4 linked regions of the Rhinolophus ferrumequinum genome follow. The protein of the gene in region 3 purifies or fractionates together with the protein of the main gene of each other region. This does not show direct contact. Links are inferred from orthologs where the notes say so. Each region holds a gene or a part of one and is shown on either strand. Other genes may lie near its edges. The genes, in order: RPRD2, SCAF1, POLR2G and CTDP1.

Evidence for each region.
Region 1: the proteins of POLR2G (region 3) and RPRD2 purify together in Homo sapiens (affinity purification with mass spectrometry; 3 studies listed by BioGRID and IntAct, counting the BioPlex papers as one, with this or other methods). This does not show direct contact. The link is inferred for Rhinolophus ferrumequinum from reciprocal best matches to the Homo sapiens genes POLR2G and RPRD2.
Region 2: the proteins of POLR2G (region 3) and SCAF1 purify together in Homo sapiens (affinity purification with mass spectrometry; 3 studies listed by BioGRID and IntAct, counting the BioPlex papers as one, with this or other methods). This does not show direct contact. The link is inferred for Rhinolophus ferrumequinum from reciprocal best matches to the Homo sapiens genes POLR2G and SCAF1.
Region 4: the proteins of POLR2G (region 3) and CTDP1 purify together in Homo sapiens (affinity purification with mass spectrometry; 4 studies listed by BioGRID and IntAct, counting the BioPlex papers as one, with this or other methods). This does not show direct contact. The link is inferred for Rhinolophus ferrumequinum from reciprocal best matches to the Homo sapiens genes POLR2G and CTDP1.

What each region holds. Positions count from the first base shown.
Region 1 is NC_046305.1:50,692,004-50,698,986, forward strand, and holds the start of RPRD2 (regulation of nuclear pre-mRNA domain-containing protein 2), read left to right. Parts: upstream 1-3,981; 5' UTR 3,982-4,962; coding exon 4,963-5,167; intron 5,168-6,983.
Region 2 is NC_046298.1:44,727,411-44,735,282, reverse strand, and holds the start of SCAF1 (splicing factor, arginine/serine-rich 19), read right to left. Parts: upstream 3,004-7,872; 5' UTR 2,087-3,003; coding exon 2,054-2,086; intron 1,955-2,053; coding exon 1,841-1,954; intron 1,594-1,840; coding exon 1,536-1,593; intron 824-1,535; coding exon 729-823; intron 454-728; coding exon 353-453; intron 265-352; coding exon 149-264; intron 1-148. Other genes in the region: RRAS (ras-related protein R-Ras), read left to right, coding at 6,303-6,455.
Region 3 is NC_046294.1:8,066,136-8,073,980, forward strand, and holds the start of POLR2G (DNA-directed RNA polymerase II subunit RPB7), read right to left. Parts: upstream 3,009-7,845; 5' UTR 2,884-3,008; coding exon 2,872-2,883; intron 2,751-2,871; coding exon 2,641-2,750; intron 1,380-2,640; coding exon 1,220-1,379; intron 640-1,219; coding exon 589-639; intron 485-588; coding exon 419-484; intron 316-418; coding exon 244-315; intron 43-243; coding exon 9-42; intron 1-8. UniProt on the Homo sapiens protein: Core component of RNA polymerase II (Pol II), a DNA-dependent RNA polymerase which synthesizes mRNA precursors and many functional non-coding RNAs using the four ribonucleoside triphosphates as substrates.
Region 4 is NC_046302.1:60,190,668-60,197,981, forward strand, and holds the start of CTDP1 (RNA polymerase II subunit A C-terminal domain phosphatase), read left to right. Parts: upstream 1-4,450; coding exon 4,451-4,755; intron 4,756-7,314. UniProt on the Homo sapiens protein: Processively dephosphorylates 'Ser-2' and 'Ser-5' of the heptad repeats YSPTSPS in the C-terminal domain of the largest RNA polymerase II subunit. This promotes the activity of RNA polymerase II.

The sequences.
Region 1 (6,983 bases), on a different chromosome or scaffold from region 3:
CTCACAGATGATACACAAAATGTATGCAAGGCCAGTGCTACAAAACTATAAGAAATAGGTAGCTGTGATTGGAGAACTTTCTCTCCCTCATTTGCCCTACTTTGAAGTCATAACACAGGAAGTGGCCTACACATGACTATTGGCTGTCATTTACTACCTTGTGAATGTTATGATTCTCAGTGCTTTGCATCTGACTTGGGCTTTGAGAAGCAAATAAAAATAGCTTATATTTTATTATTTAATTCTACAAGTTACTCAATTAATCTTTAGCTATATCAAATGCCGAGAAGAAAAAATGTCAACAATAGCTAAATAAATATCTAGCAGCTAGTAATTTTCTCATGCCAAATAAAAGTTAAAAGTTCACTAAAATTTTAATATATTTTCAATTGTTTTACTTTTTCTGGAAAATAAGTTTTTTAAATTAAATGTATTGAGATGACATTAGTTAATAACATTATATGTTTCAAGTGTACAATTCTATAATATAGTATGTTGTACTGTGTGCTCACCACCCAAAGTCTAGTCTCCTTCCATTACCACATATTTGACCCCCTTTACCTTCATCATCCTCCTTCCACCTCCCCTCTGGTAACCACCATACTGTTGTCTGTGTCTGAGTTTTTGTGTGTGGGTTTGTTGCTTTCAATTTTTTATCCCATATGTGAGTAAAATCGTATGGTTCTTGTCCTTTTCCGTCTGACTTTTTTCCCCCTTAGCATGATATTCTCAAGATCCATCCATGTTGTGGCAAATGGCAGTATTTCATCCTTTCTTATGGCTGAGTAGTATTCCCTTAAACATATGTACCACATCTTCCTTATCCAATCATTCATTGTAGAAAACTTAGGTTGTTTCCATGTCTTGGCTATTGTGACTAATATTGCAATGAACATAGGGGTACATATATCTCTATGAATAAATGTTTTCAAAATTTTGGGTTAGATGCCCAGAAGAGGAATTGCTAGGTCATCTGGTAGCGCTATTCTTAATTTTTTGAGGAACCTCCATACTGTTTTCCATAGTGGCTGTACCAGTTTAAATTCCCCTGCGGTGTAGGTGGGTTCTTTTTTCTCCACATCCTCTCCAACACTTGTTATTTCTTGTCTTATTGATAATAGCCATTCTAACAGGTGTGAGATGGTGTCTCCTTGTGGTTTTGATTTGCATTTCCTGAAGAGCTAGTGAAGTTGAGCATCTTTTCACGTATCTGTTGGCCATTTATATGTCTTCTTTGAAGAAGTGTCTGTTTAGGTCCTCTGTGCATTTTTCTTTTAAACAGGACTTTATTGGGGAACAGTGTGTTCCAGGACTTCCAGGACTTTTTCTAAGTCAAGTTGTTGTCCTTTCAATCTTAGTTGTGGAGGGCGCAGCTCAGCTCCAGGTCTAGTTGCCGTTGTTAGTTGCAGGGGGTACAGCCCACCATCCCTTGCGGGAGTCGAAGAATTGAACTGGCAACCTTGTGGTTGAGAGCCCACTGGCCCATGTGGGAATCGAACCGGCAGCCTTCGGCGTTAGCAGAATGGAGCTCCAACTGCCTGAGCCACCGGGCTGGCCCCCGTCTGTGCATTTTTTAATTGGATTGTTTATTTGTTGTTGTTGCTGTTGTGGAAATATAATAGTTTTGAATAATTTTTTAAAAAATGATTACATTGCTGTTATATGTTTATGTAAGTTGTAATTTGCATATGTAAGAAATTACAATTTATGTAAGGAAAGTTTACTCAGCAAATACAGTTATAAAGTTGTTAAATATTAATAGTTTTAACATTTAAAATATTTAACTTAAAGATTTTAGTCATTCTTAACTGCATTGAATATAAAGAGTAAGGTCTGGGTGGCCAGTTAGCTCAGTTGGTTAGAGCACGGTGCTAGTAGCACCAAGGTTGCCGGTTCGATCCCCGCATGGGCCACTCTGAGCTGTGCCCTCCTTTAAAAAAAAAAAAAAAAGAGTAAACTTCATGTTTACTCTTGCAGAAAGCACAGCTATACACATTGTATTATACATATACAGATACACAGCATATCTGTAGCATTAAAATTTCACAGAGGTTGAGGGGATTAGGAAAAAATATCTAAAATGAATCTTTAGGGACAATGATAAGGAAAAAAAGGCTTTGAGAATTGCTCAGGTCAAAAGCCTTGGTGTCAGACTTGTTTCTCCCACACTCCCCTTAAATCCATGAACATGCTTTTAGGCTCTTCCCTCAAAATAGATCCAGGATCTGACACCACTTCTCATTATCTTTTTTGCACTCTGGTACAGATCACCATCATTTCCTTGCCTGGATTATTCCAACAGCCTCCTTAACTGGTGGCTCCGAAGTCTATTTTCAACATAGCAACCAATGTGATCATTTAAAAAGATTGCCATGTAACTTCTCTGCTTAAAAGGACTTCCCATCTCATTTCAAAGCCAACATCCTTACAGTGGCTTTGGAAGGTTCCACACGAACTCTCTCCCTTCACTTCTCAGACCTCATACTGTACCACTTGTCCCCTCTCTTACTCTTCTCCAGCCACACTGGCCTCCTTGTTCTTCCTTTAATATGTCAAGACATTCTGTTTTAAGAGCCTCTGCACTTGCCGTTCCTTCTGCCAGCATGTTCTCCTCCTCCTCTCCGGTATCTGCTTGGTTACCTTGTTCTCGACATTCAGATTGACAAGGAGAAAATTCTGAGAAGTCCTAAATTAAATTATAGCAGGCCAGAGAGTGGAAGGAAGAGACAAAAAGGGGTTAATCAGGTAACCACGGCAGTGCAAAACCAACAAAAGACTGCTTACACTGCCTTAGTGTGTTTTGGAATTATTAAATTAACTTCCAGGTGGCCATTTCCAGATTATCTAAAAAAAAAGAGAATAGCTAGGCTGCTACTGAACCCCAGGGGTCTCTGTTTCTTGTTTATGCATGAGTTTTATGGACTCTCTTGGGCCTATCCCCTTTGTCTATAGCTAATGTAAATTCTTTCAGAATGGCTTATAAATTTCTCCTCCCTACTCCATGTGTAAAAATGCCTGCAAAACTCAGGGACTTGGACATGTTATCCTTCCTACCTAGCTATGTTGCTGGTGGTTTAGACTCCACGCCCCAAAACCTGTCTTCTTTTTTCACCAGCAATGGGCTAATAAACTCTTTCTTTTAAAAAGGCTTTCAGCCATGAAGTTCAAAATTTTTTGTTTAACAAGATAAAGTGTCACTTCCTTCCAAAAGCCCTTCCGATTCATTAAACCACCATTCCCATGCCCATCTAGGATCACCCACACGATACCGCCCATCTCCCTTACTCTGCTTCATACTTCTTAATAGAACTTACTACTCCCTGACATGTATTTGGTTATGGTCTCCTGACACTAAGCCCTAGAGGGAAGGAATTTTTGTCCGTTTTCCTGTTACTCTATCCAACAGGTAGAACAGTGAGTGCTTGGTTCAACACGTTCAACAACTTTTTGTTGAATTAATACTAGATATGAGCTCGAAAAAACAGATTCTCTGCCTCAAGAAAAGTGAGTCTACTGGGGTGACATAAAAGAATTGAAATATAATAATTACATGTGTTCAGTTGGACACGGAAGCCTCCAAATCTGCCCAGAGGATTTACCTAGACAGATGTGATAGAATGATGCTAATCAATATTACTTAAGGCTCTTGTAAATTATAATGTATTGTACAATTCTGAGATTGTGCCGAAGGTGAGACCATATCCTGTCTTTTATCTTTTACTCGTCTCCAAAATTTTACGGGGAAATTTTCGTTTCACTTAATTTACTTCCTCTTCATATAATCCAAATAGTCAAGCGGCTATGAATGGTATGGTCCAAGGGGACTGTGAAATGTTGCTTCGTCTGGGAGTCTGCGTAGTGAATGGCTCGCTGGAGCTGGCGCATGCGCACCTGTCAGAGGCACTGCAAGATGGCTGCCAGCCACTTGGTCGAGCGTCGGTGCCCCGAGGAGTCAGCAGCGGCGGCGGCGGCGGCAGCCGCCAGAAAGTAATAGTGGCCGCTGAGCGGTGGGAGTTTCCCGGCCTTGTTATGTGATCTGGATAGCCCCAAGTGAGAGACCTCGCTGGGAAGCAAAAGGCGGGGCGGCGGTGTAACCCCCTCCCCCAACCTCTCCTTAGTTTGACCAGTCCCCTTACCCTCCCCTCCCCGCTTTTCCTCCCAGTCCGCTACACGCGGAGGTGCTGCGCAGGCGCACAAGTAATTGAAGCGCCTCCTCGGCTCTAGGGGTTTGCGGGCTCCTGCGCGCGCTTCTCCTTCTTCTCCCTTGATTGGTCAGATTGCCCCGCCATGACACCTCCCCCTGCTCTCTAGGTTGAGAAGGAAACGGGGGGCGGGGCCAAGCGGCGCGTGCGCGATACTGTTGCTGTTCCTTTGCTGCTATTGCGTTGCAAAAAAAAAAATCCTGACTAGGTAGCCTTGGGCCTTTTCTGTACTAGAGGATCTAAAGGAGAGAAAAAGATTTCTGCAATCGAAGGGGCACTCGGGTAGTATTAAATTTAAGATATTCACAGCCGCCCTAACAGGAGTGTGGGGATAGGAGTGGGAAAGGGCCTTAGCGTAAAGAGCGCAAGAGTATAAAACCATTAGTTTGGGGCCAGCCGTTTTGAAAGGCTTTGCAAGGACCTGTTTTCTGCGTAATTCTTGCCTGATTACTGACTAGTTTACACACAACCCCTTGAACCATTCTGATAAACCTTCGAAACCCGCAGCCCCTCCTTGCAGCGTGCTGGAGCCGCCAGCGTGCCTAGCAGCTGGCCTGCCGATCCTACCTCCAGAAGAGCCTAGCGCGTGCACCACCCCCACCCCCCGGCCTCCTTCCCCACCTACGGCTTTCACGCACTCGCAGTGATTGTTTTGCCCGCTCCCGCCGCCGCCGCCGCTGGCGCCGCTGCCGCCGCCGCCGCCGCCGCCGCCGCCGCCGCCGCCGCCAGAGGAGCAGCAGCGCTTGTGCAAACCGGGAAGATGGCGGCCGGCGGCGGCGGAGGCAGCAGTAAGGCCTCCTCCTCGTCGGCCTCTTCGGCAGGGGCTCTGGAGTCCTCGTTGGATCGAAAATTCCAGTCGGTAACTAACACCATGGAATCTATTCAAGGCCTGTCGTCTTGGTGTATAGAGAACAAGAAACACCACACTACTATCGTCTACCATTGGATGAAGTGGCTCCGGAGATGTGAGTGTTGGGGGTGCCTAGGGGAAGGGAAGACCGGGGAAATGGAAGGAAATACCGCCCGAATCGCTTGAGGTTTTCCCATGGAGCCACTGCATTTGGCTGGGGTTGTTCACAGTAAAGCTTTGACCCGAGTGTTCCCAGACCCAGACTCCTCCATTCCTAGCCAGGGTTTTCCTGAATTGCGGGAAGCTTAGCATTTCGTGGATATGTAGCCACTGACTTGGTGTGACCTTGGGCCGTTGGCCCCAGATCTATAGCGATTTACACATTATGTCTTTTCAAAGCCTCGTAAGGTACCGTTGACTTTACTGAACCTTCACGGAAATTGTCGCGTCCGTTCGTTTCTTCTATAGGCCGTGAGGTGTTAATGATTTCTGGTTTTCCTGATGCTAGACAAGCTCTGATCTAAGCACCACTAGTAAATCCAACTATTTCGCTGGAATATGTTGGACCACTCTGTTTTCTACTGACCTGAAACTTGGGATGTGTAATAAGAAGGGTTTATCTGGGTGAATGTTAAACAACGTGTGCTCCACATAGAGCTGAGGCGACCACCTGGGAGGTTTCCCTGTTACCTGTGTTTGCTGCAATGAAATACAGGCTTCTTGATAATGACCGGAAACTACTGTATGTAGTCAAGTATTGTCAATAATACCTTAAAATGAAAAAAAAACCCACATCCGACTACTTTTTAATCACTTGAAATACCTTTTTAAGGAATTGAGTTTGGTTTCATAGGTAATAATCAAAACAGGAAATCAAGAAATGAGCTTTTTGAATATATAGTACGCCCCCTCCCCCCAGTTATTACTTTTTTGCCTTCGTGGGGCAGTTTTTCCACTTTGCTGCTTTACTACAGAAAAGAGGTCTAGTAAACTGTCAGGAAACGTGGATGGTGTGCCAAAGATCTCAAATCTTCTAGGAGGAAGTGTGGAGAATTCACTGTTGCTTCCTGCTGAGAAGAGAGGGTTAACTTTCTTCTCAGGGATTTTTGAATTTTAGGTCTTTTGTTGCTTCTGTATTTGAATTTTAGCTCTTTTGCTCCCTGACCATGGCTTGTCATCAGTGATACCCGTCATCCAGTTGTTCTTATTCCACTTCTGCCATGGCCTCTGAAGTGTTTTGATTTGTGTTTACCTTTTAGGGAACAGATGGATAAAACTTGCAAAATCATAGGCCCCAAGCTTTCAACCATTTGTATATGTAAAGTTATTGTTGGGAGAGATGTTTTGTGGCTCTTTGAATAATAAATGCTCAAAGGGTTGTAGAACCAAGACGGATTACCTTTATTTACCAATAGCAGATCAAAGTTACTTTCTTTTCAAGAGGTAAAATTAGAATATATAAAATCAAGTATGATAACAGTCCTCAAAGACCCTTACATATTAAGTACCTGCTATGTACCCAGCCCTTTACTGTCATTTATAATATATCTCCTATCTGAAAATAACCCTCAGAAATAGATTTTTAAATCATTGGTATAGAGATGGGGAAACTAAGGCTCGGGATATTACCTAAATTGCTTAAGATTACACAGTAAAGTGGTGGAGTTAGGATTTGGCTTCACCATATCAGATGATATCAGATGACAGTGGCCACATTTAACTTTGTAAAAGAACGTTCTCAAGATTACTCCTTTAATGCGCTTGGTCCACCAGTGGGAGCAAGCAGTGTTCATGTGAGCCTGAGGACATGTTTTCCTTAAACATAGTCTCCTTCCTGTTTTAAAACATTTTTTACTAAATTATGCGAGCATTTAACATTTTCTACCTTTGGGCTCTGGTGCTTTACCTGTATGGTTACATCATTTGCAAGA
Region 2 (7,872 bases), on a different chromosome or scaffold from region 3:
CTTTACTGCAGTGTAAATAGGGAAAAAAACACAAAAATAAAAAGAGTTTGTCTAAATGGCACGATTATCACTATTACATCTAATGACAGCTGTCTCGCACACAAAGCCAAGGCCGCCGCCTGCCCAGCTCTGCCCTCGTCCCACATACCTGTTTTGCCCGTCCTCCAGGCCCTGAGACGGGGCAGCAGGCTGGGCACCGGCAGAGGGATCGGATCCCTGTCCCCGATTCGGACCTCAGCCACCAGCTCCAGCATGTCCTCGCTTCTGCAAGACAGAAGGGGTGAGTGAGCCTCAGGGGTGCTCCCAGCTCCCAAACCAGGGGCTCTCCCAGTCCAGCTACCCAGCAACTCACTCGCCAGGCCGCAGGTCCAGGTGGCTGGGAACCCAGGTGTCTGGAGGATCCAGGACGCTCACCAACCCTGCCAGGAAGCTGTCCGCAGCCATGTCCAGCACCTGGAATAGGGAGGAGGAGCTCCACCCTGTCCCTCATCATGTGAGGACCCACAAATCCCATTTCCCCAACCCCTAACCTCCTAAGAAAATGCAGGGATCCAACCAATTCCCTCGGCCTGACTGCCTCCAGGACCCAGAGCCCGGCCCCCAAGCCCTCCAACACTGCTCCTGATCAGCACCCCAGACTCAGGCGTCTATGAGTGCCCAGCCCCATTTCCCCATCTCCGGGATCCACGCCTCAATGCCCTTCCTCCCCTGGCTCCCTCCTTACTCACAGTAGCTGTGTCAGTTCCTCCTGATTCCTGGGAACGGGACTCTGACCGTGGGCTCTGGCAGCGCCTCCATCGAAGGCCATGACACCGAGAGCCATCTAGAGAGAGATTTGCATGGGGGACTGAGGACAGGGACCTAGGTGGAGAAACCCTGTGGGGCAGAGAAAAAAGGAGCCTGCCCTAGCTCTTGATGAGGGAACCACGCTCCTGCCTGCTCTGCCAGCCTCCATCCACTCCTAAGTCGGGTCCCAGACGGACTTCCTCGATGCCCTTCTGAGGCTCCAGCTCCCTCACCCCTCTGTCCTCCTAGCTGCCCTCAGGATGAAGTCCTGACAAGTCAGCTCGACATTCGAGCCAGGCTGTGAGCCGGTCCCCACAAACCTCTCCTGTGTCCCCTCACGCCTGCTGCCCGCCAGCCCCTAAGAACCTCAGTTCAGTCCTGTAGTGCACCCCTGTGCTCGTCTCTGCCTATCAGGCCTTCTTTTTTACCAGACAACTCTAACACGTCCTTAAGAGATGCAGTTCACCTGTCGCCCCTTCTAGGAAGCCTTCCTGGATTCTGGCCACTAACCTAGCTGGGCCTCCTGCCGTCTCACGGTACCACAGGCTACCTCTGTGCCGTGATCGTGTCTCTCTCCACCAGACTGTAAGCCCCTCCAAGGCAGCCACGGGGGGTTTGACCCATTTTTGGCTCCCATGCCAGCACAAGAGTGGCACCCAGGAGGCCTCAGAAAAATGTATATGAATGAAATTGGGATAAAGAATGCAGAGATGGGTCAGGGAGCTAAGAGGAACCAGAACCCATCATACCTTTATCATTCGGCAGATCCCCCTGCAGGGAACTTCCCACAGCCTGCTGAATGGCCCGCTAGAGAAAAGATGGGGGTGAAGGGGGTGGAAAGAAAGGGTGGCAGTCAGGGGACTCGTGCAAATGGTCACAAGCTCTACTCCTGGGAGACAGGCATTCCAGACACCCTACAGCCAAACTCAAACCCTTCAGAGGAGCCAAGAGTGCAGGCTCCCAGCCCCGCCTCCCCCGAAGGCCCAGGAGTCGGGCCCTGGAATCCAGACTCCCAGCCCCTCCTCCCTTGGCCCCAGATGTCTAGCAGCCTCACCAGGATAAAGGCAGTAGGAGAAAGCGTAGGGTCTCTGTCCGGGGGACCATCGCCCCGATCTTCACCCGACTCCTCTGTTTTCCCTCGAGACTCATCTTCTTCCTCCATGGTCACCTGGAAGTTGAGGGGGTGAGTTTGGAGTTCAGACAAACAGGGCTGTGGGGTGGGGTGTGGGGTGTGGAGGGGACAGAAGCAGAGGACGAACACAAAGACCTCAAAGGCCTCCACCATTGCCTCAATCAGCATCCTCTTCAGTGTCCCTCCTCTCCGCCACTCATCCCGGTCCTTGGGAGGGTACTGGGTCCAATGCAGATACCAGAGGGACTAGAGCGATTCTCTCCCCTGGTCTGGATTTCAGCTGCCTCCTCTGTTGGAAGGGAGGCCCTCCCAGCCTATTTCAACACCCCACCCCCCAGTTCCCACCGTTTCCCCCACAACCAAACTTAAGACCTCACTGGCCCACTTTCATGGGAGCCAACACAATGCCAAGATTTTTTTCTGTTGAGTTGTGATTTCAAATAGTGTGCTCCATAGTCTCATACACCTAGCTTTCCCAAACTGAGGTATGCGCCAGTGTGCTGGGTGTATCTCAAATATGACACAACTTCCTAAAGCATCAATCTTCCTCGATGGTGAGGAACGAGAAACAATTTATTTATATATACAATAGAAAGTGGACCCATGATAACGTGATTTACAAAACCAACATGCCACTTTTGAAATGAAAACACTAATTTCAGAAAGGTGTGCTGCTCACCAGAACCCCTGGGGACATCTGCCTATGTCCTGTCTGCCCATTGTGTGGAAGCATGGCTAAAGCCTTTACGATATCACAAAAATTCATAGATTATACTAAAGTTGAAAGGTCATCCTTCAGATTGGGGGTTGTCTTAATTGGGCTTCAAACAACAGGAATATTTCAGCTGTGGGATTGCCAGCGACCATCAAATCTGCTACTCTGAAACAATATCCAGTCTCAAAGTTTCTAGAAAGCTTCAAATCCCTAACCCCCAACTCAGTGTGCTTATCTGTATGTGGCAGAATTGGAGTATCTACCTCAGAGGAAGGCTGCGAGAAATTGAAAGGAGACACTTCTGCCACAGTGTTAGCATAACCCAGTACTCAATACAGAGTAATAATAATAATCGTTATTAGTCTTTAGGGCCCAGGTTTCCCCCCCCGTCTCCCCAACTTCCCCAGCTGTATACCTGCAAAGAAAAGTCCTCTGTCCTGGTCTCCCTTGGACCAGATGTTCAAGCTTTGCCAAAGTTCCTCCATGCAGCCTCCCAGCTCTCTAAGAGCCTGAGGTTCCTTCCCTAACTCGCATTGACACCCACCCTGATAAGGCCCTAAGGACAGTTCCAGCCCTGGAGCTGCTCACCAGCACCTGGGGGCAGGGTGGGGGTAGAAAGCGCAAATTACAGTGACTGTCACATAACAGAAGCTTAACCAAGGTCTGACTACAAACACACAGATCCCAAACCCTCAGCAGGTATGAAGATGCTCCCTTGCCCACGCAGACATGCCCCAGGCTCTGCAGATACACCCAAGGCTCCTTGGGTCTTTTCCATATGAGAAGGCCCTGCAGACATTGCTAGATCTCTCTAGATCAGTCATTCTCAAACTACAGAGTCTGACAGCAGTATATTGCTTCACAAATAGCTTGTTATAAAAAGTAAATCAGATGCTGAAAATTATTCATAATACATCGCAAGTAGTAAGTGGAAATATCAATTAATGGGACATGGGTATTAACTTAAATACATGTCGGTGGGTACTGGGCCTCAATGAAAAATGTATATTTTCTTGCTATAGATCAAGGTCAAAAGAGCTTAAAAAGCATTGTACTAGATGATTCTATAAACTTTCCCAGACTAATGTAAGCTAATTCGAACTCTTGCCATAACACCAGGGCAACACAAAATTTTAAAATATTTTTCATCTCAATTACCTTCTAAAGTGCAAATACACTTGAGCTCAGCAAATTTTCCAATACTCTCCTTTGTCTTATTCTCCATCTGATTATATGGCCCCAAACGGCATTCGAATTTGCTGCAGGCACACTCAAAGCCACCTAGATGATTTCAGGTCCTTTTAACTGCCCCAGCCCCCTGTCACCCAGATTAAACACCTCCCAGATGATGGAGACCTCTCAGCACATCTCAATATTTGCCTCCCTCCCTTGGTGAGCACATCCCACCTCTAAAAGACTTTCTAACCCAGGAAGTTCTTTCAGGCCCGCTAAACGGCCCCGGACCCAGGTAGCTGAGTGGCATCCTCACGTCAGCCCATGTAGACACTTCCCAGCCCCAACAAACATACCCCAGGCGCTATAGATGGCTCTGCAGAAACTCCTCAGCTCTTGCAAACCTCCTTCACCCCTGGGATATATCTCAAGATCTCAGGTTGGCCCCAGAACCCTATGAACAGACCCTAGCCTCCGGTCAACCCATAAAGACGATCAACAGTGCCTACAGAGATGACCCAAGCCGGCTATATGATGGAGGGCAGGCGCCAGCTTCGGTCCAGACCCTGTGGACGTTCCCAGTTCTCCCGGGGATGCTCCGTAGGTGGCCCCCGGCACCCAGAGACACGTCCCAGGGCCTTGAGAAGGCCCCCCGTTCGGCGCCAGGTTCCGCCGCCGCTGCCGGGCCAGAGGCCACCCCGCTAAGTCCTCCAGACCCTGTGGCGTGTTGGAGAGGACCCCAGGACTACTAGCGACCCGACTCCGCCCCGCCCACCCCAATAGGCCTGAGCCCCGCGGTCCGGACCACCGCCGCCATCTTACCCCGCCGCTCGGGCTGCGGCTCCGGCCCCGGCGCGGGGCGGGGCGGGCTGGGGCGGGGGGTTCGCTAGCGGAGGGAGGAGAGGGGCGGAGCTAAAACGCCGCCGAGCTTGCCGGGACTTCAAGTACCGAGCACGGTGCCGTGAAGGCTGGTGGGAAGGCTCCGGACTCAGTTTCCCAGAAGTCAACGGGCCACACGGGCAGGGGTGCGCCGGGAGGCGTAGTCCGCGCGTCGCCTCCGTCACGCGGGCGCAGCAAGGAGGTGAGAGGTGAAGTGGGCGTGGTTGCAGTAGCCCGCGATGAGGCCCCACAATTCCATGCGTACGCGCGGAAAGAGCTGCGGAACAGGACGTGACGTAAAGAGCACTCAGCCGGACAGATGCAAGGGAATTGTAGTTCCGCGGAGTAAGTAGTGGAAAAAAAAAGCTGTCCTGCCTGGGAATTGTCCCGCCCACATTGTGGGGATCCCAGAATCCCGATCCCCCCCAGTCCCCTCTAAATTTAGAACCAAGAAGCCCTGCCCCACAGCCTCCTTCATTTAGGTCCGAAAAGTCCAAATTCCGATTCCTCTCACTTGGCAGAGGAGTCCAGACTCCCATTTCCCTCCTCCTTCCTTATATCCAGGAGTTGGGCCCTCAGGCTTTTCCTCCCTCAGACCATTTCTGGTCTTAAGCTCGTACTTTACATGAACACAAGTGTTCGGGTTCCCCACACCAATTCCCTCGAGATCCAGAATTCTGGGTTCCCAGAGCCTCGAACCCCGGGACCCAAGAATCTGGACTTCCAGCTCCCTCCTTTACGAAACGGGTAGTCCTAATAGTAAGGACCCCCAGATCTCCTCCCCTCCGGGATACGGAACTCCAGGTCTCCAGACCAGTTCTCTCCTACGGAGTTTCCTTCTTCAAAGATCCAGAAATCCTGGCTCTAGGCCCTTCATGACCCAGGCGTCCCGGCTTGGGCGAGCTGGCTCATGGATTAGGAATGCAGTGATCTCACGGCCCCTCCCTGCCCCGTTACCCGGCTGTCCCCCTCCAGGGCCCCAACTCCCCTCCCAGTCTGTCTTCCGCTTGGCTGGGACTGCGGCAACCGGAAGCCTGGGTCCCTTAGCGGGCGGAGACTCCAACATCCAGCCCAAACGCCCGGGTCGGCAGTTTGGCTCAGATCCCAGGACGGAGGTGGAGCTTCCCCTCAGGACCTGCTCACTTCCTCGGAGCGCGCCTATATACGGCCGCGCGCGAGTCGGCGAGCCCCGCCTACTAGAACAAGGCCTTGGGGAAAGTGCCCTGAGAAGCTGCTTCACAGGATTCTTCATTTGCATATCCCCTCCCCGAATAATCTTCCCGACCTGTCTGCCGAAAGAATGAGCTCTTATTAGCATAGCCACGCCCCCAAACGGCCCGCCTGCCCAGAGCGCGTGGAGCAGCTCTGGGTAAGCACAGTTCTCTCATTAGCATATCCCCACCCCTTTCGGAATTCCCCTTAGTGGCGAACGTCGTTCCCCTGCCTTTATTAGCATAGCTCCTCCTTTTCCCTGGCCTTACCTCCTCAAGTGTTCCGAGACTTGTGCCCTTCTTGCCGGAGCTCATGATTATGCAGTAGCCTTATTAGCGTGGCCCGCCCCTAGGCCCCGCCCGGCTCCCCCCAGGCGGTAGCGGCGGCGGCGGCAGCGGTGGCGACATGAGCAGCGGGGCGGCGTCCGGGACGGGGCGGGGGCGGCCCCGGGGCGGGGGGCCGGGACCTGGGGACCCCCCACCCAGCGAGACACACAAGCTGGTGGTCGTGGGCGGCGGCGGCGTGGGCAAGAGTGCGCTGACCATCCAGTTCATCCAGGTAGTGGGCCCTCACCCGGGGGGTGTCCCCGGGACCCAGAACGTAGCCCTTGGGGGGGATCCCTGAGACCCCGATTTCCCCCTCCATCCATCACTGAGACCCTCCTATGAGGCCCTCTAATCTTAAAAATTCCCCTCAGATCGTGACCCTGAGCGCCCCAGGACCTCCACCCCCTACATGAGGGACCTTCCTCCTATACTCATCCTGAGACCCACCGTCCCTCCTGCCAGAACCCCCCTTCCCTGCTGACCTGACCCAGATCACCTCCTGGGAGCATCCTAAATCCATGTCACCACATTCTGACCTTAAACACTCTCGTGTGTCCGCCCGTAGGTGCCACTTTCCCTCACCCTGAGTCCCATCTCCCCCAAATCCTAGGCTCCAGCTTCCCTTCTGAGCCACCCAGAGCCTAACTTAGGAGAAAGCCTGTGCCCAAAGCCCTTGAGATGATTCCAGTCTGGATGCTTAGCTCCTTCAGAGACCTCCCTGAATCTAGAAATTATGCCCAGACTGTTCCTGAGGCCAATCTGGGACCACTCTAAAAGAGGCACCCTCAGACCCTAGGAGAGTTCAAATAGATCCTGCCAGTTGGCTCTTCCAGAGAACTGTAAGACCCCCAAGTCTTGTGGCTCCCCCATCCTACCAGACCCAGACCTCTACCCTCCCCCAAGGAAAACCAACCACTCCTCCATCTTGAGTTCTCCTCCATTCCAACTCTCTGAGCCCCTCTCAGAAACTCTGGTTAGCCCCCAAATCTCCATGGAAGAAGCCCCCAGATTCTTGATATCCCCAGAAAGATCCACTCCTTGGGAGTGTCTCTGACCCCATAAATGCCTGTCAGGGTCTCTAAGACTCTAGACACACCTGACCTTCTCCTGAGGTGCTCTGAATACACACCCCTAATTCCCCCAGGGCCTGGTCCCTACACCCTCCCTCCAGCACAAGCCTCAACAAGCACACCTCCAGAAGACTGGATGCAGCCCTCAGACCCCCAACTACCATATCTCCCCTTCTCCACTTAAAATCCACCCCTGCCCAGGAAACCTCCACCCCATTCCCAAGGGGAACACCCTCCCACCTCAGAGAAACCCTAGAAAGGTGTCTGCTCCTGAGACGCTACTGCAGAGGCCCTTGGGTCCCAGACCCATTAAGAGACCCCAGCCAGGCCTGCATGGCAGCCCTTGTCTGTGTAGAGAAAGGCCCCCCGTCCCTAGGCCCCTGTCCCTAGGGGCAGACCTGAAGCTGTCCAAAGGCCTGGCTGGAGGCGGGCGGGACGCAGGAAGGGAGGGGCCCAGCCTTAGGGCGGGGCAGTTTCTCCACAGTTGGATTGGAATTGGGACCTTCCCCTGGGAGGAGACACTAAAAGCCGCCCAAGGAGGGGGGGGGGGAAGGAGGAGGGGGAAAAAAGAGGGAAGAG
Region 3 (7,845 bases):
GCACTCACCCAAGTAATCATCCATCAGGGAGCCAATAGCAAACTGTAGGAGGGAAGGTAAAAAGGAAATGAAGCCTAAGCCAGCACAGAACTATCCTCTAAGCCCCAGCCCCAGGCCTTCTGCCCACCCATCCCCTCTTCCTGGCAGAAGAGGAGCACAGAACATCCAGGAACTCTGGGTGGTAAGAAATGAACAGCTCCTAGCTCTGCCTGGTACAGTCAGGGAGGCAGGCAAGAGACTCACGATGTCATTCTTATCCACACGGGTCCCCACAATCTTCAAGCGGATCTCATCGTCCTGCTGAATCACAATGTCCTGGGAGATGGGAACAGTATACTCAGACACCCGCCAGCCAATATTCTCCCTCAGAGCAGCTAGTTCCCTCCTCCCTCTCACTGACTTCTTCCTACCCACTCACCTCATCCACTGTCTTGTAACATGGTGGGTTGGAGTTAGGATCAAACTCCATCTCTGATGGGATGGACTTGAAAGGAAAATGATAATGGGTCAGCACTTTAAATGGATGCTCCAGTAGATGGTCAGGAATGAGTGTCTCTCCTTGGCCCCACCCACAATGCCCAGACTTACATGTCGAGAGATGAAGCAGGACATAGGTCCAATTTCTGTGAAGAGTCCAACCTAGAAGGAAAATGAGTGACCCTTGCTCTTTCTTTTGTTACCCAAAGTCTTCTAAGCTTCCCACCTGTATCTGATTTCTAATTATTTTCTCCATGTTTGAAACCACTCTGAATTATAGCATTTGTTTTCATTTCCCATTTTTCAAGTTTCATTTTAAGTTTAGCAAATATGGTGAAGTAGTAAAGAGCTGAGACCTGGGACTCCTGTCAAATCCTGTCAGTCCAGGATTTGAACACTTGTTGGTCATGTGACACCGGCCACTAGACTTAACTTCTCTCAGTTTAAGCTTCTACAAAAAAGGATAAAAGCACCCACCTTATAGAGTCGCTGTAAGGCTTTATACATGACCTGGCCTGCAATAACTACTCAATCAACAGAGGCTACTATTGTTATGACTATTAATATGGACTTACATGCCCTGAGTGAGGCAGGGCGAAATTATTACACCTTTTGACAGGTGAGGGAACTGAAGCACAAAAAAATGACTTAGCCAAAGGACATAGACTTAGCAAGTGGAGTTGGGACCTATCCCCCATCTTCTGAGAGATCACCCCCCTGCCTCCTCTATCTGTTGTCTCACCTTGTTGACCTGAGTGACAACAGCGTCCACGACTTCCCCCTTAAAGGGCCGGAAAACAATGGCCTTGTACTTCACTGGATAAAGGACAAAACCTCGGCCTGGCTGGATCACACCAGCACCAATATTGTCAATGGTGGTGACAGCAATTACAAAGCCATACCTGTGAGGAGGATGAGAACAAAAGGGACTGTATGTGGAAGAGCTTCTAAAACCATCTGCAGGGGCAGCCTGGGGGGGAGGGCAGCTCAGTTGGTTAGAGCGCGAGCTCTGGGCAACGGGGCAGCCGGTTGGATTCCCACACGGGCCAGCGAGCTGCGCCCTCCGCAACTAGAATGAAGTCAATGAGCTGCCGCTCAGCTCCCGGGTGGCCAGATGGCTCAGGTGGTTGGAGCGCGGGCTCTCAACCACAAGGTTACTGGTTTGACTCCTCGACTCCCGCAAGGGATGGTGGGCTGCGCCCCCTGCAACTAACAACAGCAACCGGACCTGTGTGAGCTGCGCCCTCCACCACTAAGATTCAAAGGACAACTTGACTTGGAAAAGTCTCGGAAGTACATACTATTCCCCAATAAAAAATAAGTAAATAAATAAATAAAGCCATCTGCAACAAGACTCAGTGAACCTGGGGGTCGCGGGCCAGTACAAAGAGGAAGCAGATGGCATCCCTGACGCTAGAGAGCCTAACGACCAAGAAGGAAGACAGGATGATCAGTATATATAACGCCCAACACTGCTCTCCTAATTTCACAATACATGTTCAATAAGGCTGCAGTCCTTGAGCTAAGAGACCTCAGTCTTTGAGATCCTCAGAATCACCTGGGAAGAACTTATTAAAATGCAGATTCCCAGGCCCGTCCCCAGAGTCCTGATTCTGCGGGGAGGGGATGAGCCTCAGGAAATTTCACGTTCAAGAGATACCACAGGTTATTCTGATGATGGCGGCCCAAGTAGTCTGCAGCCCTGGTCTCATCCCAGCTCATTAACACCAGTGTGAGCGACCTCTGTGCGTAGCCCAGAGATGTGTCATGCCAGTCCCTGGGCATGGAGATAGAGAAAACCAGGAGAATCACAGACAGAGCAGACACAGGAACAATGATTGGACTGTGGGCTCCATGACGGCTGGCCTCATTCTATATCGTTCCCAGGGCCCAACACAGGCCCTGGCACACAGCAGGAGCTTTAGAAACGTGTGCAGAGTAAGTGAATGACCAATCTAAGCTGAGGGAAGTAAATCTTGAGATCCAGCTTTGCAGAGGGCGCCATGGGAACCCAAAACAGGAAGCAACAGACTGCTTGGGGCGCCTACGAGTGTGTGAGAGGGTTCCCCAGAGTAATTGGCAGGACCTTGCAGAATGAGTAGGAGTTGGGAAGGGGTTGCCTTGTATGCATAGATCAGGTGGAACAGAGAGCACGGCACTCACTTGCCGGTGCAGGTCCCCTCTACCTCCGTAAAGAGCTTCTGTTTCACCGTGTTGAGCAGGTTGGGGCCGAAGTAGCGCGGGTGCAGCAGGATCTCGTGCTCCAGGGATATCTGTGGGGAAAGTGGCATGGAGACCGGGCAAGGCGCAACAGGAAGATGCGGCAACTCTTCCCGGCGCCCCGCTTCGTCCTCTCTCGACCCTGCCCTCGCCGCCACCCCGTGCCCTGCTCACATGGTAGAACATCTTCCCGGAGAAGGAAGGAGAGCAGCCGAGTCCACACCTTCGCGGGAAGCGGTATCTCCAGCTCAACCGGAAACACAATCTTTCGCTGCAACCCCGCTTCCCCACCAGAGGGAGCTAAGAGGGCGGGACTCCGCCCTTTCCACGGACCCGATTGGGCCTCACTGTGGTGGGCGGGGAATCCAGGAAGCTCGGCCCTCCACCCCGTCCACCAGCGATCAAAATCCGCTCTCTTAAATTAACAGTCCCTGGCCCAGAATACATGCTCAATAAGTACTTTTAAACGGAATTAATTAATTAATGAAAGGTGGCATAAATAAAGCTCTTTAGCAGAGTGCATTCATTTACCACTCCAGGTAGATGGTATCAAAATTGAGTTAAATTGTAGGACACCCAGCTGGTGTCAGAATTGCTTGGATGGAGGGGTTGGGGGTGGCGGGGAGCACCTTGTAATTGGAGTCAGAATTCTTAGTAATAAATACTTAAAACTGATCACTTCCTAATCATTTTACTACAGTTTGCCATTGTCAATACTCTTGAGGTTATTTATACCTATTTTGTCTGTGTGGTGTAAATATTATATAATTGTATATGTAGGTATAAGAGTTCCAGTTGCTCTGATATCCTCACTAGCCCTTGGTATTGTCAGCAGTTTGTTCATTTGTTTATTTGTTTTTGTTTATTTAACTATCCTAATGACTGTGTAGTAGTATCTCATTGTGGTTTTAGTTTTCATTTCCGTAATGACTAATGACGTTGAACATCTTTTCATGTGCATATTTGCCAAGAGTGATGGTTTCAAAACTGAAATCAAATCATGTCACCCCCCGACTTAGAACCCAATGGCTACCCAGAGCACTAGAATAAAATCACTGTGACCTACCAGGCAGGGACCAGATCCAGCCAACTCCTTTTTCTGCCTCTCTTCCTTTTGCTTTCTCCACTCCAGCCACATTGCCCTCCTCTCCCACCTCAGGACCTACACACTTACTATTTCTCCTGCCTAAAATGCTCTTAGCTCTGATACCCACCTGCTGGGGGCGGAAGGGGGCTCCTCATCCTTCAGGTATAAGCTCAGTATCACCACCACCAAGAAGCCTTCCATGACTACCCTGACTCAAGTAGCCACACCCCAGTCATTCCTTTATTGTATTGCCTTGTTTCATTTTCTTCCTTGAACTTAGTCATATTTGGACTCATTCATTTAGATATGTGTATATTGCCTGTTTCCCCTCAAGAAGGGCAGGTGTTCCTCTATATTCATAATACCTAGAACACTACCTGGCACACAACAGATGCTCACTATCTATTCACATCACTGAGTCAATCTCTAGCACCTAACAGAGCACTCTGCAAATAATGGAGTTTAACAAGGATGGGTTGATTGAACCTCATTCTAATAATGAACATATTACTATCTTTTTGAGCTCCCCAGGCATGGGTTGGCCATGATAAACTCTCCCCTAGCCCTGATCCTTTTGCTTGCTAAGCTTCAGGATCAGAGACAAACTAGAATAGAAAGGGAAAGTAGCAATGGAGAATAATCAGCTCTCTTGAGATTTGGATTACAAAGAAAGTTTGTTGGAGAATTGTTTCAGTTATCTTTTGCTGGACAATAAATCACCGCCAAACTTAGTGGCTTAAAACAACGACAATAATTTATTGAGCTCACAAATCTACAATTTGGGCAAGGCTCAGTAGGGAAGGCTTACTCCTGATCCATGAGACATCAGGTGAGGCAGTTCAACAAGGGACTGGAGGATCCACTTCCAATCTTGGCTCAATCACATGGCTGGCAAATTGAAGCTGGTTGTTACCGTGTTTCCCCGAAAAAGAGACTGTGAGGACAGAGCCAGGAGTGCAGTTTCCAGGCTCTCGCCCTCACGTGGAAAGGTGCTCATTTGGGTAGTAAATGGTCATCAACTCTGATTGGATGGTGTGGGGACAGAGCCCCAAGAGAGCAATTTCCAGGCTCTCGGCCTCATGTGGAAAGGTGCTGGCTCGGGTAGTAGATGGCCGTTGGCTGTGGCTGGTTGGCCGTCAGCTGTGGCTGGTTAGCCAATTGGCCACTGATATAACTGCCGCGGCTGCGCTGGTTGGTGAGTCAAGTCAAGGGGACTCGGTCAGTTGGCAGAAAAGCGCACAGCAGGTCGCACATCATGTGAATCTAGCCTCCAGTGAGACTATAGTGGTATGACTCCCCTACCTATGGCTCCGTGGGTGTTCCTTTTTGGCCTAGCCACATCCTGCGTTCTTATGTGGGGAGCAGAAGCTGAGACCTCACAAGCCGCCCTGTATGACAAATGGCCATCAGCTATAACCAGTGAGCCATTGGCCAGTAATATAACTGCTGTGGCTACACTAGCAGAAAATGGGGGCTAGTAAGAAGACGGTGGCTGAGCGAGCAGGAGCGGATTGCAGTTAGTGTGGCGGAGTGTGGATTGAGGATTCTGTGGCTCCTGCCTCCTGTGTCTCCAACCCCGCCGCCAGTGAGACTATAGTGATATGACTCCCCTACTTATGACTCTGTGGGTGTTCCTTTTTGGCCTCACCGTACGCTGTGTTCTTATATGGGGAGCAGGACCGGAGACCCCGCAGGCTGCCCTGCATGACACATGGCGCAGTGAGCAGGGTACGGTGCTGGCCAATGCTCTCCGAAGGGCGGCGGAGCAGTTTGTGCAAATGAACACTCAGTCTCAGGAAGACCAGGAGGAGCAGATGCTGGAGAGCTGGACCCCCATGGAGGAGTGAAAAGACGTGGACGGTTCCCCAACCAGCATAGGCTGGAGAAAGCGAAGGTCCTTGCGGCCCTGTGGGCTGGGAAGTGCTTGCTGACGCAGCCTGGATGCAGGCCTTGTAATTCCAGGAGGAAACGCTTGCTGAGTCCTCCATGGGAGCTGAGGGTGAGGTCAAGGTCGTCCCTCACCCCCAGGACATCTGTGGGGACAGAGCCCCACAGAGCAGTTTCCAGGTTCTCAGCCTCACATGGAAAGGTGCTGGCTCAGATAGTAAATGGCCATCAACTGTGATCGGATGGCCATCAGCTGTGGCTAGTTGGCCGTCAGCTGTAACCAGTGAGCTATTGGCCACTAATATAACTGCTGTGGCTACGCTAGCAGAAAATGGGGGCTAGCAAGAAGATGGTGGCTAAGCTAGCAAGCGCGGATTGCAGTTAGGACGGCAGATTGCAGCTAGCAAGTGGGGTCGGATGGTTGGCAGAAAAGCGGATGGCGGGTTGCAGATGGTTTGGCTCCTGCTTCCTGTGTCTCTGGCCCAGCTGCCAGCGAGAGCATGGTGGTGTGGCTACCCTGTCTGTGGCTCCGTGGGTGTTCCTTTCTGACCTCACCATGTCCTGAGCTCTTGTGTGGGGAGTACGAGCTGAGACCCCACAGGCCGTCCCACATGACAACAGCCCTGGCGAATGACTATGTACTATGGGGAATTGCCTTCCATCCCTAATTTAATGGACCGCTTGACTGTTTGCTTGGGAACATACCACCCGGTAGTGGAACTGGCGGATGTTTGCGTTTGTGTCTTGACTGGCCACTATCGAGAATATGTAAGCACCTTGACTGTGGGTCGCTGTTGTTCCTGCACGGTAACCTGTGAGGCCTGGAGAGAGTGGCAGTGCCCTGAGAGCCCTGGCTGAGTCCAGGAAGTCTGGCTGTGCCCAGAGAGAGTGGCAGTGCCCTGAGAGGCCCTGGCTATGCCCAGGAAGTCAGGCTGTGCCCAGAGTGGTGGTACCCTGAGAGGCCCTGGCTATGCCCAGGAAGTCGGGCTGTGCCCAGAGAGTGGCGGTGCCCTGAGAGGCCCTCGCTGTGCCCACGGAGGCTGGTGGTACCCTAAGAAGCCCAGGAAGTCTGGCTGTGCCCAGAAGGACTGGTGGTGCCCTGAGAAACCCTGGCTGTGCCCAGAGAGCCTGGCTGTGTCCAGGATATTGCATTCACCTCCAGGCTCCTCGCACAGGGCCCCTCGCGGAAGACGCTTGTCGCACAGATTGTGAGGCGACACCCTGTAGAGGTGGAGTGTGGGGACAGAGCCTGGAGCGCAGTTTGTAGGCCCTCGGCCTCACGTGGAAAGGTGCTCACTCAGGTAGCAAATGGCCATCAACTGTGATTGGATGGCCATCAGCTGTGTCTAGTTGGCCGTCAGCTGTAACTAGTGAGCCATTGGCCAGTAATATAACTGCTGTGGCTACGCTAGCAGAAAATGGGGGCTAGCAAGAGGATGGTGGCTGAGCGAGCAGGAGCGGATTACAGTTAGCACAGTGGAGTGTGGATTGCGGATTCTGTGGCTCCTGCCTCCTGTGTCTCCAACCCAGCTGCCAGTGAGACTATAGTGATATGACTCCCCTACTTATGGCTCTGTGGGTGTGCCTTTTTGGCCTTACTATATCCTGCGTTCTTATGTGGGGAGCAGGACCAGAGACCCTGCGTGACTCCCTGCATGACAGAGACCTAGCTGGACCAGCAGCTCTAATGTGTCTTTTGGAGTAAAAATTAATATAAGACCCGGTATTATATTAATTATATTATATTAATTATATTATATTATGTTATACCCAGTTTTGTATTAAAATAAGACCAGGTCTTATATTAATTTTTGCTCCAAAAGACGCATTAGAGCTGATGGTCCGGCTACGTCTTCTTTTCAGGGAAGCACACTAGCTGGAAGCCTAGCTGTGGCTGTGGTTGAAACACTTACATGTGGCCTCTTTGCATGGCCTGGGCTTCCTCCCAGCATCATCGCTGGGTTCTAAGATCAAGTGTCCCAAGAGGACCAAGCATAAGCTGTATCCCCTTTTATGATTGAGCCTCAGAAGTCACATACGTAGCATCTCCCTCGAGGTCGCAATCCCTCCCAGACTCAAGGCGAGAGACCTTACCCTATAAAAGGAGCAACGATGTCATATTTTAAAAAGATCATGTGGGAAGCCAGATCTTGTCAGGGCCATCTTGGAAAATA
Region 4 (7,314 bases), on a different chromosome or scaffold from region 3:
TGGGCTCCCAACCACAAGGTTGCCAGTTTAATTCCTCGAGTCCCGCAAGGGATGGTGGGCTCCGCCCCCTACAACTAAGATTGAACATGGCAGGCAGCTTGAGCTGAGCTGCCTCCCAGATGGCTCAGTTGGTTGGAGCGCGTCCTCTCAACCACAAGGTTGCCGGTTCGACTCCCACAAGGGATGGTGGGCTGTGCCCCCTGCAACTAGAAAACGGCAACTGGACCTGGAGCTGAGCTGCGCCCTCCACAACTAAGACTGAAAGGACAACTTGACTTGGAAAAAAGTCCTGGAAGTACACGCTGTTCCCCAATAAAGTCCTGTTCCCCTTCCCCAATAAAAAAAATTAATTAAAAAAAAAATCTCTTTACTTCTCCTGGGTCCGTGTTTCCATTCTTCGGTCTCACGAGACACGATCCTGGCCCACACCCAGAAACTGCCTGCAGATCCAACATCGTTTGGGGACTCAGAGGAAAAATATTCCTCCATCAATTCTATCACAGGCTCAGGAAACTCGGACGTAAGGACCCCAAGGGCACTCACAAGCTCTCTTCCCAATATGCCGTTCCCTGCTGTTTCTCTGCTGTTAATGTGTCCTCTTCCAGAGCCATTTTTCATTCCTTCTCACTGACCTGCCAAACAAGTGACAAAACCTGGTGGCTGTAACTCAGCAGCTCTCCCTGCAAACACTCCCCTCTGATCAGACAACCTCAGAAGTGGGGTCTTTATCTCCAGGTTCTCTCAGCCCTTAGCTGCCAGCATTGTCTTAAGCACAGATTAAATAAGCTCATACATCTGCTCAAAAACTTTTCATGACTACCCACTGCCTACCTTGCTACACATTCAAATAACCCGGTAAGCAAAACTCCCGATACTCAGATCCGACCCCAAACTAATTAAGTCAGAATTTTGAGGGATGGGACCGTGGTATGTGTCCTTTTTCAAACATCCCAGTACTGTTCCTTGGGGTTTTGCCACAAAGGACTCTTATTAAGGGAACGCACAGAACCTCAACCATGATGGTCCTCATGGCCGGAATGCCCATTTCCTCTTTACCTCGTGTCAAAACCCCACTCACCGTCTTCTTCCTCAGGTAGTCACTGCTGCAATAACACGGGAAAATGAATAATTGCAGATATCGTGTTTTAGAAGACATCAAGGCACTCTGGAGAATAAGAGGATGAAAAGAAAGAAAATCCCTGAGAGAGAAAACCTGTCCCCGGATAAACTGCCATCAGTGGCCCTTTTCTTCTCTCAACCATTCGCTGAGTATGGGCAGAGTCTGAGCTCGAGCTTGACAGATGGAGAGATTTGGCCAAAGGGGAGATAAGTCCTCTGTGTTGGCTTGTGTGATGGGCTGGACACAAAGGAGCCCCACATACACAGCTGCTTTTCCTCCCAGGACACTTGCTTAGTGCTGGGGAAGCATGTAGGGGTGGGGTTGTGGCCAGGCTTTCGAGACAGTGTGAAATGTACAGTTTGAGATAACTATGAATGAATAAATTCCCACCAGCAAGAGGGCCTGCTATTGCACACAAGAAGTCTTGCTTTCGAGATATTTGAAGCCAAAACTGGACTGAGCCAAACCTAAGACTCCAGCACAGCCCTGACAAAATCAATATTCTTGATTGTATTGAGGTGATCAGCCCTTCAACGTGTGTGCCCAAAGGAGAAAGGTTGAGGTGTTCTCTGTCTGTGCTTCTTCTATGCACGAGGTGTGGCATACTAATAATACAAACAATCCTGATACCTGTATCTTATGTTTTTGTGTAAGTTCTGGTGAGGGCACTGGGCCTGGTGAGCCAGTGCAAAAGGGAGGGAGGGAGACCAAGGAGTGAGTCCTGAGACGCTCCTTGGCACAGCACTCGAGAGGTGGCAAGAAGGCTTTTTGGAGCACAGCAAAATGGCCTCCTGAGGCTTCCATGACTGTTCAGGGTAAGTTTCGGGAGGGTAGCAGCTGAGAACTTGCAACTACCGCTAAATCTGAAAAAAGTATGTTTTTGTGACAGCTCGAGTGACCTGGGGGTGGTGACAGGGGCTGAGGTCCCCTCCTTTTATCAGGAAAAGGATTCAAGCATCACAAAAAAATGAAATGCCACCATGGCAAGGTAGGTAAGATAGGACATTACAGTCACCGTGTGGCTCAAGCATACAGAGGTGGGGAAGCGCCAACCACCTCATGGCAAAAACATGAAAATGGTGGTGCTGTTTTCTAAGGAATAGGGTCAAAATCACTTTAACAGAAAATATACTTTCACCAGAAGGGCTAGACCGTATTAATTCCAGAAAACGAAGCTCCTTTAAGCGAGGTGGACTTGCTTCTTGGATAACCAGAGAAAAAATCAGCAATAGCTCCATCTAGCTGGGCAGTGTGCCTTCCTTTAACACCTGCCAGGCCTGACGACCTGGGCTTGGAAAGGAGCTTCTGGAGAAGGCTGTATGGGAGGACCAGAGGTAAAGCCCCAGGTAACACAGGTGGGCAGAAAACAGTATTGACGTTGAACACCCTCTTCGGAAGCTCTGAAGTCCATGAGGCATTTTTTTAACACTCAGAGAAAATAAGTGAGGTTAGTTCTATTTACGTGTTGTAGGCCTACTCCTATTTTCTATTTCTTCAATTTCGGTATGTTTGTTTTTCTAGGAATTTTTTATGCATTTCACCTAAGTTATCTAACTTGTTGGCATACAGTTGTTCATATTATTCCCTTAGAATCTTTTTTATTTTTTGTGAGGTCGGTAGTGCTATTTTCTTTCATTCCTAATTTTGGTAATTCTCTCTTTTATTCCTGATCAATCCAGCTAAAATTTTGTCAATTTTTTAAAAATCTTTTCAAAGAACCAAAGAGTCTTTTTAATCTTTTGGCTTTGTAGATTTCCTCTACTGTTTATTTGTTTTATTTCTGCTTTAATCATTTCTTATCTGTTTGTTTTGGGTTTCGCTTTCTGATTTCTTACGGACAAAGGCTAGATTATTAATATTTGTTCTTAATCTTTAATATATTAGATATTTTAGCCACGTATTTCTAAGCATTGCATTAGCTGTAGCACACAAGTTGTAGTATATTTCTGTTTACTTTCAATCATAAACATTTTGCTGGTCTGATTTCCTTCGATACATTGGTTACTTATGACTACTGTTTAACATCCAACCAACTGTAAATTTCCCATGTTGGTTTCTCACTTAATGTCATGGTGCCCAGAGAAAAAGCTTGGTATGGTGTCAGTCCTTTTACACTTTCTGAGGATTGTTTTATGTCCTAGCACACAACCTGTCCTGGAGCAAGTTCCGCACGGAGGTAAAGAGAAGGAGCATGTGCTGCTTTGAGGATTCACAGTTGTTCCAGCCCGCTGTCCTTTCCGATCTTGCACCTCGTTGTTCCACCCGACGTTGACGTTGGGTATTGAAGAGCACAACTGCCACTGTCACTTGTCTGCCTCCCTGTCACTCTGTCAGTTTCTGCTTTCTGCGTCTGAGGCTCTGTCGCTGTGGCAGGTGCTCCGTCCACATTTCCCGGGGGCGGGGGGCAAGAGGGGAATTGCAGGTCTTTAATGGTTGTGAAGAATGCCCTTCAAGGAACCAAGAACGACCATTTCCATAAATTATCCCGCACTCAAAAGCGGCGAGAGCGCCGAGGTATCCCCACGCGCGGCCTCCGCAGGAGTGCGGCTCGGAGGGCGAGAGGCAGGGCCCGAGTCCGAGAACACCGCCAAACACATGACCTGCCGCGAGGTGCAGGGCCGGACGTCCATCGCCCTCTGACCCCTGCCTGGGCACTGGCATGCCAGGACCGCAGCTCCACGACGCCCGCTTTGCAAACCAAGACTCAGACTAATGACACCGGGTCTCAACACGTGATGGGACTGCCGGTCAGCGTCCGGAGTTGCATGCCGGGACTCGTAGTTCTCATGACGACCGCCTTAGCGCGCGAGGGGAATGTCGGACGGCGGCCCGCGTTGTATGCCGGGACTCGCAGAGCCTGACGGGGATACGGGGTATGGCAGTGCGCGGTGCATGGCGGGACTCATAATTTAACAACGCCCGGGCCTCAGCGCATAAACGGAGTTGTGGGACATTAGCAAGCGTTGCATACCGGTCACCTGTACTCATAGGGTAAACGGCGTAGGGACACTGTTCCCGCCGGACCCAGCCCCACGGGTTTGGTACTATGGCGCCTATGGTACCTGCGGCTGGCGCAGCGCCTCTCGAGGACAGTGCGGGCTTGTTTACACGCGGGCCGCACGGCGCACGCACGCACGCGACGTCACGTGACGTCATGCGTTGTCCCGGAAGTCGGCGCGGACCAGGGCGGCGGGTGGAAGCCGGTGTAGGAGTGGGAATCGCAGCGCAGCCACCGCCTCCGCCTGGGCCGGGGTCGCCCGCCCGCCGGCGATGGGCACCGTTGCCTGAGCACCCGTCTGCCGCATCTCCGCAGCGACCCCGCTGGCCGGGATGGAGGCGCCGCCCGCCGGCCGCGTTCCCGCCGAGGGCGTCCCGCCGGCGGCCGTGGCCGAGGTGCGCTGCCCGGGCCCCGGGCCGCTGCGTCTGCTCGAATGGAGGGTGGCGGCGGGCACAACCGTGCGCATTGGCTCGGTGCTGGCCGTGTGCGAGGCCGCCGCCTCCGCGCAGCCCTCCGGACCTGCTCCTGCTCGCGCCGGCTCGGGTGGCTGCGTGCGCGCCGAGCGCAGGCTGAGGTCGGAGCGCGCCGGCGTGGTGCGGGAGCTGTGCGCGCACCCGGGCCAGGTGGTGGCTCCCGGGTGAGTAGGTCGGGGGAGAGGGCAGCAACAGGGAGGGGAGGGAGGGAGCGCCGGGAGGGTTCTCTGGGCCAGGAAAGGGGACCGGCCCGGACACTAGGTAGGAAAGGGTCTCAGGGGCTGCGGCTGAAGGGGCTGCGCTCGGGGAGAACTTTGGAAGGTAGGAACACCCCCACCCCCCGCGGCTGCGCGGCTGCGTGCTTTTCTGAGGCTGCACAAGTCACCGCTTGTGATTTTTGTGTAGGAAATGGTTGTGTTCGTTTCTCTTCTGTAATCGCTGTCTCTCCCCAACACTCGGCATTTGTAAGTTAGGAAAACTCGGTGCGACGGCGAGTACTGGAAGAAGAGCACGCTCCGCGCTTGTCATCGCAGTATAAACAAGCTGTTGGGGCTGTCCTCTGCCTTAGGTGTCGGCAGCCTCGGGAGACGCGGTCGTAAAACCCGGCGGTGTGTGCAGCGTAGTTCGGGAAGGGGTGCAGCCGGTGACAGAGTGGTAGTGCCCCTCCTGCCACGGGCTCTAGCTGTGGGTGCTTATGTTTTCTCATGAAGGACTTTGCTTCCTCTTCTGAAGTGTGTGAACCTGTCTCCGCGCATACTTTCTGTCTGAGTTTACCGGGGTGGTGCTCTTGAGATCGGCTTGAAGTGTGGGCACAGGTGTGTTGTTTCATTGTCGGCAACAGGGAGCCAGGGCAGGGGGACATTCCTGCGCCCTGCTGTCGTGGCCGGTGCGCAGCTTCCTCGGCGGCGACCGGAGTGTGCCAGGTGCTCAGGCCCCTGTCCACCCTGGCGCTCCTCCGGTGGTGCTGCCTGCCCTGTCTCGGCTCCTCTCCGTGGGGCCTGCTCTCACCGTCCACCTGTTGAGTATCTCCTCCCTCCCGGACTCTGATGACCAGGGCAGGATGGGACAGGACCGTGCTCCATCCCAGCCCGGGACCCTCACCCTCGTCCACTCTCCCTCTCATCCCTTGGAGGAAGGTCCCTGGCCGTCAGCTCAGGCGCCCACGCCTGCCCCGTGGATGCGGGTGGGTGGGATGGATGCCACCTGGGAACTGCACCCTCACTGGAGCTGTGTGCCTGGCTTCCTGTAGGAGGGAGGGGCACTGTGCTCTGGGTGACACACTGGCATGCTGTCATCATTACTTTGAAGTCACCTGTTACCTGACCTTCGCTTGGGCGCTAATGAGCCTGTAAACGCACCAGCCTGTGAATGACGGAGACGAAGCCCAGTGCTGGTGCATCACCGTGTAGAAAACCCCAGAAGTGGAGAGGCTTCTCTGTGCCGCTCTGTCCCTCTGGTTGTACAGAGAAGGCCCCCGGGGCCCAGACAAGCTCGTCGGTGGGAAGCTCCACATGTAGTGCTGCGAGCGCATCAAGCTGGCCAAGCACATCCGAGTGACCAGTCAGTCCATTGTCTCCCAGTCTGCTGCATACCCAGTGTGATGACAGGTTCCCAGCTGTGAGTCGCTGCTGCTTTCAGTGTTTCAGTGTTTGAGCCTTGGGGTGCCCCACTGCAGGGGCCCATCACAGGCTCTTTGAGAATTTGGTGACTGACAGCGTTTCTCCTGGAATGTAGGTGTGAGCGAGCATTGCAGCTCCCGCGCAGAGCCCGGCACCCCTGGCAGAGTTGTTCGTTGTCACTGCCATCAGCAGGAGGCATCCTGGCCACAGTGGGCGGGGCTCACTCTCCACAGTGGACAGTTCTAGGAACTTAGGAATGCTGGCTTTCTACTGTACAGTTTCGCAGTGAGGACTTATGTTACTATTATTTGCCTTCATGTTCAGATTATCCCACCGTTGGTCAGTGGGAGCCCCTTCAAGCTGCCTCCTCCGACAGGGCCCCGTGTCGGAGCACCACCCTGCTTTCTGACGCAGTAGTATTCGGGCTCTAGCTCTCGCAGTCCCCGCCCTGGAACCAGCCATTAGGCCAAGAAGTGCTGTTTCCTTGTGATGGAGAATGGCATTTAGAGACAAAGAGCCGTATGCGCTGAGTTCCTTTTCCCAGTCCGCCCCTATCCTCAGACACTTCACGGTCAGCACAGATCCCTGATATGTTCAAGGAAGAGGGAGGTGGGGCCCACCCAGCCTAGTGTTTAACAGTGACCGCTCCCTAGCAGAGTTCAGGGCGCCCAGCCCCGACACTTCCCTTTCTGCTGTGGGCCCTCAGACCTCCCCATTACAGCAGACACGAAAGCTAGTGAAGACAGACATAGCAGGACAGTTTGGTATACAAGCAGGACTTGTGTATTTTGGGGGAAATAACTTGTTTGCAAAGCTCATTCATGATTTGCCTATGGATTTTCTTCAAGGACCAAGCAGAAAAGTTAACATTTATTGGTGACTGACTCGACATCCGGGTTGGTCTCCTTGGCTAAAGCGAGGTATTTTTGGACTCGGGGCACCACTCCCTTTCAGGTGCGGTGATACTCTCTGGAGGGTTGACAGAAGAGGTACTGAGACCCTCTGGGTACCTGAACCCGTCTGTCAGTATCTGCAGGGATGAAGCAAACAGCACACTCAGAGAGGACATTGCTCTCATGTCTTTTCTGATTACCTTTTCTCTCT